Linked DNA regions of Caenorhabditis elegans. The protein of the gene in region 1 purifies or fractionates together with the protein of each later gene. This does not show direct contact. Each region holds a gene or a part of one and is shown in the gene's direction. Other genes may lie near its edges.

What was found.
Region 2: the proteins of sdc-3 (region 1) and K11D12.13 fractionate together in Caenorhabditis elegans (co-fractionation; one large-scale study listed by BioGRID). This does not show direct contact.

Annotation. Positions count from the first base shown.
Region 1 is NC_003283.11:15,045,199-15,050,299, reverse strand, and holds the start of sdc-3 (Zinc finger protein sdc-3), read left to right. Parts: upstream 1-2,092; 5' UTR 2,093-2,194; intron 2,195-2,498; 5' UTR 2,499-2,508; coding exon 2,509-2,716; intron 2,717-3,249; coding exon 3,250-3,345; intron 3,346-3,392; coding exon 3,393-3,547; intron 3,548-3,601; coding exon 3,602-3,914; intron 3,915-4,091; coding exon 4,092-4,232; intron 4,233-4,554; coding exon 4,555-5,101. UniProt on the Caenorhabditis elegans protein: Component of the SDC complex that functions in sex determination and in X chromosome dosage compensation specifically in hermaphrodite (XX) animals.
Region 2 is NC_003283.11:5,031,609-5,034,799, forward strand, and holds K11D12.13 (BPTI/Kunitz inhibitor domain-containing protein), read left to right. Parts: upstream 1-1,790; 5' UTR 1,791-1,800; coding exon 1,801-1,923; intron 1,924-2,019; coding exon 2,020-2,137; intron 2,138-2,183; coding exon 2,184-2,509; 3' UTR 2,510-2,563; downstream 2,564-3,191. Other genes in the region: K11D12.6 (BPTI/Kunitz inhibitor domain-containing protein), read right to left, coding at 2,946-3,118, 3,163-3,191.

The DNA of each region.
Region 1 (5,101 bases):
TAAATTATAAATGTGAAGTTTTCATCGAAAACTTCCTCTTTCGAATAAAATTAAAAAAAAAAGAATTATTGAAAAAGTGATAGAACTGATGAGTAGTGATATACGCCAGCTCTTCCCAACTAACGAAAATTTTCATTATTTGTCATTTTTTAAGATTAGAAATTTTGTAATATTTTCGTTTTGACGCCGATTCCAAAAGGTCATTATAAAGTATCTAGAGACACAACCTTTGCTCTAAACAGCAATACCAAGCGCCCCAGTCCTCCGCACCTGATCTCTGCAAGTGGTACGACAGATCCACAAGCAAATCGGGAGGGGCCATCCAATCTCGGAGTACCTGTCACCCGGAACGGTTAAAAGCTAGCCTCCGGCCCAAAACAAGGCGAATCGACGCCAGAATTGCGACTTTCAACTGCAGGTCTGTCTCCTCCAACGACAGGCTTGCAGAACTGCTCGAAGAGACGAAGAGAATCAAGTTCGATATTATCGGACTCTCTGAAACAAAAAGAGCAACGGAAAAGCATGCAATTGGCGCCGACGGGGTCGAGATCTTTCTAGGATCTCGAAACCCAAATTCTGTTTCAGGAGGGGTCGGCTTCATCGTCACAAGCACCTCCTCCCCCGAATCACTGAAGTAGTTTTCTCCAAAGTAACATCCATTTCAACATTAATTTGGCGAAACTAGATCAAGTGAAAAGGAGAAAACCCCCGAAAAGAGTTTTGGATAAAGCTACAGCTCTGGCTGTCAGCGCAACAATTACTGCCCCTGCTCATGGAGATATTGATGAGGACTACAAGATCCTTGTCGACTCTCTCAAAACAGCCCAGGATCAATCAGTAATTCAACCATCCATCCACTCCGCCAACCGACTCTCGGAGGAAACTCGACAAATGCTCTTCAAAAGACGTCTTATGGACAGATCAGACCCAAATTTTAAGTAACTATCTATAAAATGTAGGGAAGCAGTCGAGAGAGACCATGAGAACTTTGCCAGTGCCCGCCTGCTAAAAAAAACTGAGTGACAACTGGGTGACAACTGAGTGATTTTTTTGAATCCTTATACTAGAAGGCCGAAGTAGCTAATAATTGAATGCTTTTATACACTCACGGTTCACTATAAGTCACGCATATAAAACTTACAAAAAATCGTAAATTGACAAAATAAGTCAATAGTAAATTATTTGCCGACCTAATATTACATTTCAAAATGTTGGCAAGTAACATCTCGGGTATTACACTCTCGTGGGAATCTCCAAAATGTTTCCATAGTTACTCACTCCATTACACTTTCAAAAAATCATAAACTGAACCAACTCTTCTCTCTCCACTTGCTCACACGCATGAATGTTTAGTTTTCAGAAGAAAGGTCAGGTCACTTGCCATCCAGATACGGTGGATTTTTAACAGCTCGCGCGTCCGTATGCTAGTCTTACATCTATCGATTCGTATATGCATATTTTTGTGTTAATTAGTTTTGTCAGGTTTTTCAAAACTGACTCTTGTGACAATTAGTTTCTGTTTCCATAGTTACTCACTCGTTAAACTTTCCAGAAATCATAACCCATAAAATATGACAAGTTATGTTAATTTTCTCTGTGGGTCTCGTCCTGATATCTAGCAGATTTCATCATTTGAAGCAATTAAAAATCTAAAATTTCTGATTTGATTAACACTTATTTTTCTTGAGCCAGAACTCAAAAACGGGATTTTATTTAAAAATTTGACTTTTTGCAATCTTTTAAAAATGGACATTTTCAAGAAACTTTCCAAGAAATTTTCAATTTTTGGCCTCTGATTTGAAAGTATGTAGAGACTTTTTTCTTCTGCTCAATTTTTTTTCTAGTTACCATAACCCTATTTTGAAATCAGTTATCTAAAACACTAGATGCACCCATGTGTTGTCCTCTTCTCTTTCCTCTTCATGTGTCTTTCCATCTCTACGTCTCAATCTCTAACACACTCTCTCCATCTCCCCCTCTCGAGATGTTGCGAACTACGCTAGTTGCCTTATAATTTTGAATGTGAGATTTTCCCGCGCTCATTTTGATTAATTCTTTTTTTATTTGCTTTCAAGATTAAATTCAATTTCAGAGAAAAAAAACAAGAGCCACTGGTAAATGAGAAGTTTTGGTTTCCGGGGATCCCGATTCCCAAATCACATTTAATCACTTCCTCTGCATATTTATTCAAAAAGTGAGTTTTTATGTTTTAAAATATTGTGAATAATTTTTATCAAAATTAAAATATAATACTTGAAGTGAAAAAAAACGGAAAAATATTATTTAAATGTGAAATAAAAATCTTGAAAGTAAAAATTCGAAAAGTTCTGAAATTTTCAAATTTTATCGCTCATTTCTAGTCATATCAAAACGTTATCAACTACAAAAAATTAGACAATAATATTATACAATTTTTTTAGTTGAAACTTTTTGATATCTTGTGAAACAAGCGAGACATAAGCTGTCAAAGTTTAAAAATCTTAAAATTTAATTTTCAGAGCATTAGAAATGTCTGACGAACCACCAATAGTGCTCCCAACTGAAGAAGATGGCCCATTCTCCAACTGTGTATCGATTGCATTTGTCAATGACAAGAGCATACCCGTGGAGCTACGAATTCGAAAAGCTATTCGTGGAAAAGTCACGTTCACTCAGGAACTTGTAGTCGCTGCACGTAGATTGTACCTGGATGGAGAGTTAGAAAGACCTGATCTCAGTGAGTTTATTTTTGTTGAAAAAAACTGATAGAAACAAAATAGAAATAGCATTCGATTCTACAAAAGCTGAATGAAAATATACATAAAATATTAAATTATTTTACACCTAATTTTTTTTTGAAAAAGTCGTCAACTGAAGTCATTTTTTAACACAAATAATATTCAAAAATATTCATTAAAACCGCAACAAGAAAACGCACTCTAGGAAAGCGACAGAAAAGGCAATTAAAATCCCTCGCCCAGATGGAAGCTGTTAAATAATTATCTCAAAATATGCAAATTTTTTGGTAAACATTTACATATTTTTCATTTTTAAAATTTCAAATAAAGTGTTTTTAATGGTTTAAAGTTGAAATTCCAATTTTTTAAATGTAAAATGTCAACTAAAAAAGACATTAAAATCCAAAAAATACATAAAAATATATAGAAAATGTGTTAATATTATGACAACTAATTGGAATCGTGCGAGGGCGAGTAAAGGGGCGATTACGATGCAACATGCATCATACATTCTAAATTTAATTTATTTCAGACTACCACGTTGCCGCCGACTTCTATGATCCATTTATGATCCCGGTACCAGATCACCGTAATTGGGAGTATAACCCTTTATATCCTCGGGAGTGGCGTAAGCTCAATATTTCTTTGGTTCTCCCTAGAAAAATAAATTTTCAGCTAGACTAATTGATAGAGATCTCGTCCAAAAGATCAAGATGTCCAATACGTACAAAAAGAACCAGGCGAGAAGGAAAAGACGACGACTATTAAGAATCTTCCATAGGAAACGAGGTGGAGAGTTTTTGAACTATTTATGGCATTCGAAGGAGAATGTGAGTTAACTTTTTTTTTAACTAAAAAATTTGAAAAACCTCTTAATCTTCCAGGACGTGCACTACAAACGGTATATGGCCGCCTATCAATTTCCTCTTCCATTCGAGAAATGTATCAGGGATGTAGTGAGAGAAGAGCTTAAAGATCCCGAAACATCATTTTCTAAACCACCATCAGTGGTACATCATTCGAAGATTCGACCAGCCACGCCTGATTTGTTAAAGTTGGCGAAATATCTTGGAAAGGATCGGTTTTGCTTTATTGTGACACCATTTAAATTTCGATCTCAATTCCGTTTACGTTACTACAAGAAATCTCCATTCAAACGTTCAAATATTCTTGAGAAATGGTTAAAGTTCAAAAAAGGTAAGGTTCTGATTTTTGCTTATTAATTAACTTTATCAAATTTTGTAAAATATCACACTTATAGTTAGCATGTTTTTCTTTCAATAATTTCAAATACTGTGAAAAACAAATTTCAATGCTGTAAAAATATGTTGCTCCCCAAAGTAAACTTGAGATCTAACTTCATACATGTTTTAGTGAGAGATCAAGGTGTGTTCAACATTCGAGATGCCGCTCGTGAAGTGAAGAAGCTACTTCAAAGGAAAAACGTCTACCATATGACAGACCCGCAATGTGAGCAGGAGTTCTGGGATGTATACAGACTTCAAATGCAATGGCGTAAGTTTTTGAGCACTTTTTAAAATTACGGCCTGTTTAGAGATTAAAAAATTTTGTGAATATATTATTCAATTTCAAATTTTTTCTTTTTCCCATTCTATTTCGCGGTTTCGGTATCAAACTTATTATAAGAGTGTTTAGGAATAGGCAACGATTTTAGAAACTTTCTGGAACAATTTAATTTTCTGAAAAATTTAAAATTAAAACAATTTCTGGAAAAACTACCCGGATTTGTTTGTCAAAGTTTTGGTAAATTGACAAAACTTCCCATTGACACAGCACCATGTTCAAAACTTTTAATAAAAAGTTATAATATTTTAAGTGGAAGAAGACAACATCGAGGAAAACATCACGATGCTTCGAGAAAATTTATCAAAAGTGACAGACGAGGAATTCAATAGATCCGTGTATATTATGAGACCAGAGAATCGAGCATCTATCCACGACGACGTCACATTCACCACCGATGCCGAAATCAATCTGAAGCCAATTGTTCTGGAACTTTTTCGAAATAATATGCCACTCGAAGATATCAGACAGGTTAAGGAATGTATTGACGACATGATTAACTTGACTGTCTGCCAAGAACTTATACCTCAAGTTGCTACAATTGAGACTGTTCGTGATTATTCTGGAGTTGAACAACATCGTTTAAAGTATATTCGCCCAGAAAATGAGCTGGAGATAATGTTCCAATTAGCTACCGTTCTTGTAAAAAACGAGAATACTCATGATCAAGAAATCACTTCTCCAATGTTTGCACTGCTTCGAACAGAACAATATTTGTGGTCAATTCCACTTCGACCATTTCTTCGAATGTACACTGACTGGAGGAAAACTAAACTTAATTTCAAAAAGTTTAGAAAATT
Region 2 (3,191 bases), about 10 Mb from region 1:
AGAAGAAAAGCTTAATTTTAGCTGAAATCTTCAAATTTCTTTTTTTTTGGGTCGCAGTGAAATAAAATGAGATAAACCAAAAATTCAAACCGCTTAAAAAATTTTCAATAAATGTTTTGAAATTTTTTAAAAGTATCTTTAAAGTATAAAGTATATCAAATACATTGATCGGTTAGTTCATCTTTAATCACTAAAGTCAAAATGAAAACCGAAAAAAAAAGTTTTTCACCAATTTCACGAACAGCAAAAAAGTAACCGAAATGATGATAAAAGTGTGGAATGAGACGTTGCTTTAAAGAGAATTGAAACAACGATTTACAACATGAACACAAAAAAATACACAAAAAATTTGTAGTTTGTGCCCTGTCACAATGTATCAGTTGTGTTGTCAGGCAAATCGAGTTCAATTTGTATTAAGTGAATATTACGAATTTTTATTCTTTAAAAATGATAAGAAGAATGCACTAATAAAGTGAAATATATCAATGAACGGAACAGAGGAATGTGTCAATATTTGACAGCAAAGTTCAAAAGGCAAAATTTGGAGGAGTTGAAAAGGCTTCCCCAACCAACACACTTCTTGATTTAAAACATTTTGAAAAAAAATCATTATATAAGAATTTTTGATTAAAATCAAGAAAAAATGTAAAATTGCACAACATTAGATGATACCTCTACCCCAAACCACACCAAGAAACTGTGTTAGTATGTTGGTGTGGAGATCGAAATTGAAAGAGACTGCAAGAGACGATGGGAAACAGAGAGAGTGCCAGAGATATTGACAGTTGGGGCCAAGTAATGCACGTGCAGAAGAGGAATGAGAATGCAATGCACTAAAGAACATGGACGGTTGTTGTTGTTGTTTTGATAATGGTTTATGGTCAATGGAACATGGCATTGCCATAAGGAAAGGATCATCGAGTATTTAGTCTTTTAGAAAAACATTCAACCTTTCTTAAAATTTATATGAGTACTCTTAAAAAGAAAGCATTTCAGCTCACTTTTAGACTTCAAAATGAAACCAATGCCATTTGAAAGAGGATCATTGAAAAAGGTCCCTACAAAAAATTTAGCGGCGGAGTGAAAAATACACGAAAAGCAAGTTCAGATCGACTTTTTTCTAGTTCAAAGAGTCGCTAATTTTTTTGTAGGGCGTCTGTGGATTTTTCCCTTAACAAAAATGGCAAAAAAACAGTGTCCATATACCAAGTATAACTGTTAAAAAATTAAACTTTTTCTAAATTTTTCAAAATGATTTTTTAAATTTCGCAACAAAAAAATTTAGAACTGTCTAAATTTTTTTTTGATTTTCAGGGCAGATTTACGACCTACCCTCGACTTTTTTGCGTTTTCCAGATATATCATTTGGTATTGATTTGCAACATCATTTGTCAAATTTTCAGGCTTTTTTCCGCAAAAAGACTTTCAATCTGAAGATAAAATATCGAATTTTAAAGCAATATAAGTGTTTCACCAAGTTTCTTACGGGTTATCAAGCTTTCTCTACAAAATACGGAAAATGGCTGAAAATGTTATTTCTTTTTTTTTAATTGAAGAAAAATTGATAGTGACACCAGTTGAAATGTGATTTAAAGTTTTTATTTTTCTCTCTAAATTTTCTCTGTCAAGCTCAAAATTAGAATTTGAGCGTTTCTTCTTTATTTAATTTCATGTCAAACCACCATTTCAACATGAATCATAATCGAAGAAAAGAAACAAACGACTTTTTGTTCCACTTTGCACGTATTCTGAAATAAAAGTATAAAAACTGAAAATTCGTTCATTGTGGCCTGTGTTACCATGCTCAAGGAAATAATTTTGATTTTCTATTCTTTTATGGTTGTCTTCGGGCATCCACCAAAATGTTACCTACCGCAAGCAAAAGGAACATCTTCAAATTGTTCTTATGAGGCTTCTATTAGAGTGAGTAAATCAGTTTAAATTTTGCCAAAAATTTTCTTTTCCAAAACTATATTTGTAACCTTGCTTTAGCTCTCCAAAATCTGTTTGAATTTTCAGTACCATTTTGACCCTAAAACGAATATATGTCATGCATTCAAATACGAAGGATGTGGTGGAAACGTGAACAATTATGAGACTCCAGGAGATTGCGGTCAGAACTGTAATGTAGACGAAAGTAAATCGATATTCCATTATTTATTTTTTAATTGTATTATTTTTAGAAACATATATACAGTGTGCTCTCGGAGCTCCACCTATATTCGATAGCCGTGGTAATAACAACTGCCCGTTAACAAGTGAGGAGACTGGGGAAGGATGTGAAAGTGACGAGGCTGTGTGTAAATATTTTTCAACGATGGCTCTATGTTGCAACAAAACTGTGGAAGTTGGATTGAAAGAGGATCAATCTACAACATGTCCTTCTGGAAAATCGCGGTGGCAGATTGGTGGAATAACGGTACTTGCCAAGACTTGTGATGACGTCATTTGTCCAAATGGGTACACTTGCCAAAATGGGATGTTCTTTTCTTACTGTTGTGAAAATTGAAAATTGTTAGATGAAAAATTAAGAATTGAGAAAAAATAAAGCTGTAGAACAAACAGAACAAGCAAGATGTTGCAGTGGTATCCCAACCCCTTTTTGGCAAATTTTAAAAACGGAAGCATGAGTTACTATGTCTAAAACTATTCTAGTTATATGTACTTTGGAACTGATCGTGGACGTAGGGCTTTCAGGCGCCAAAACGCCTGACGTGCCTGCCTTCCGGCGACCGCCGCCTGTCTCACGACACGACTGGTGTATAGTGCGGTGCGGAGCCCAAACATTGCCAGGCACTGTGAAACCTCCATCGCATAATGCTCTGCCGCCAAATGCAAAATTGAAACAAGGTGGCCATCAGGTTTCAGGCAGGAAACCGCACCTCCTACGGAAGCCATACATGAAAATAAATGTATTATGATAGTTTTATTATATGAAATAAAAATTATTTAGCACAACAATACGAGTAGAAGTTTCCCTTCTGACAATCAAACCCTGTTGGGCAGAATTTGTGATCACATGATTTTCCAATGAACGCCCTGTCCTTTCCTCCTCTGAATGTTGCATACTTCTTCTTTCCATTTGGACAAACGAGCTCTCTGTCTTGATCCACTTTCTCTGAAATAATTTTATTCATTACTAATAAAACTTAATTTTAGTACTTCTAGACTCCAGTGAGCAGCAAACTCCA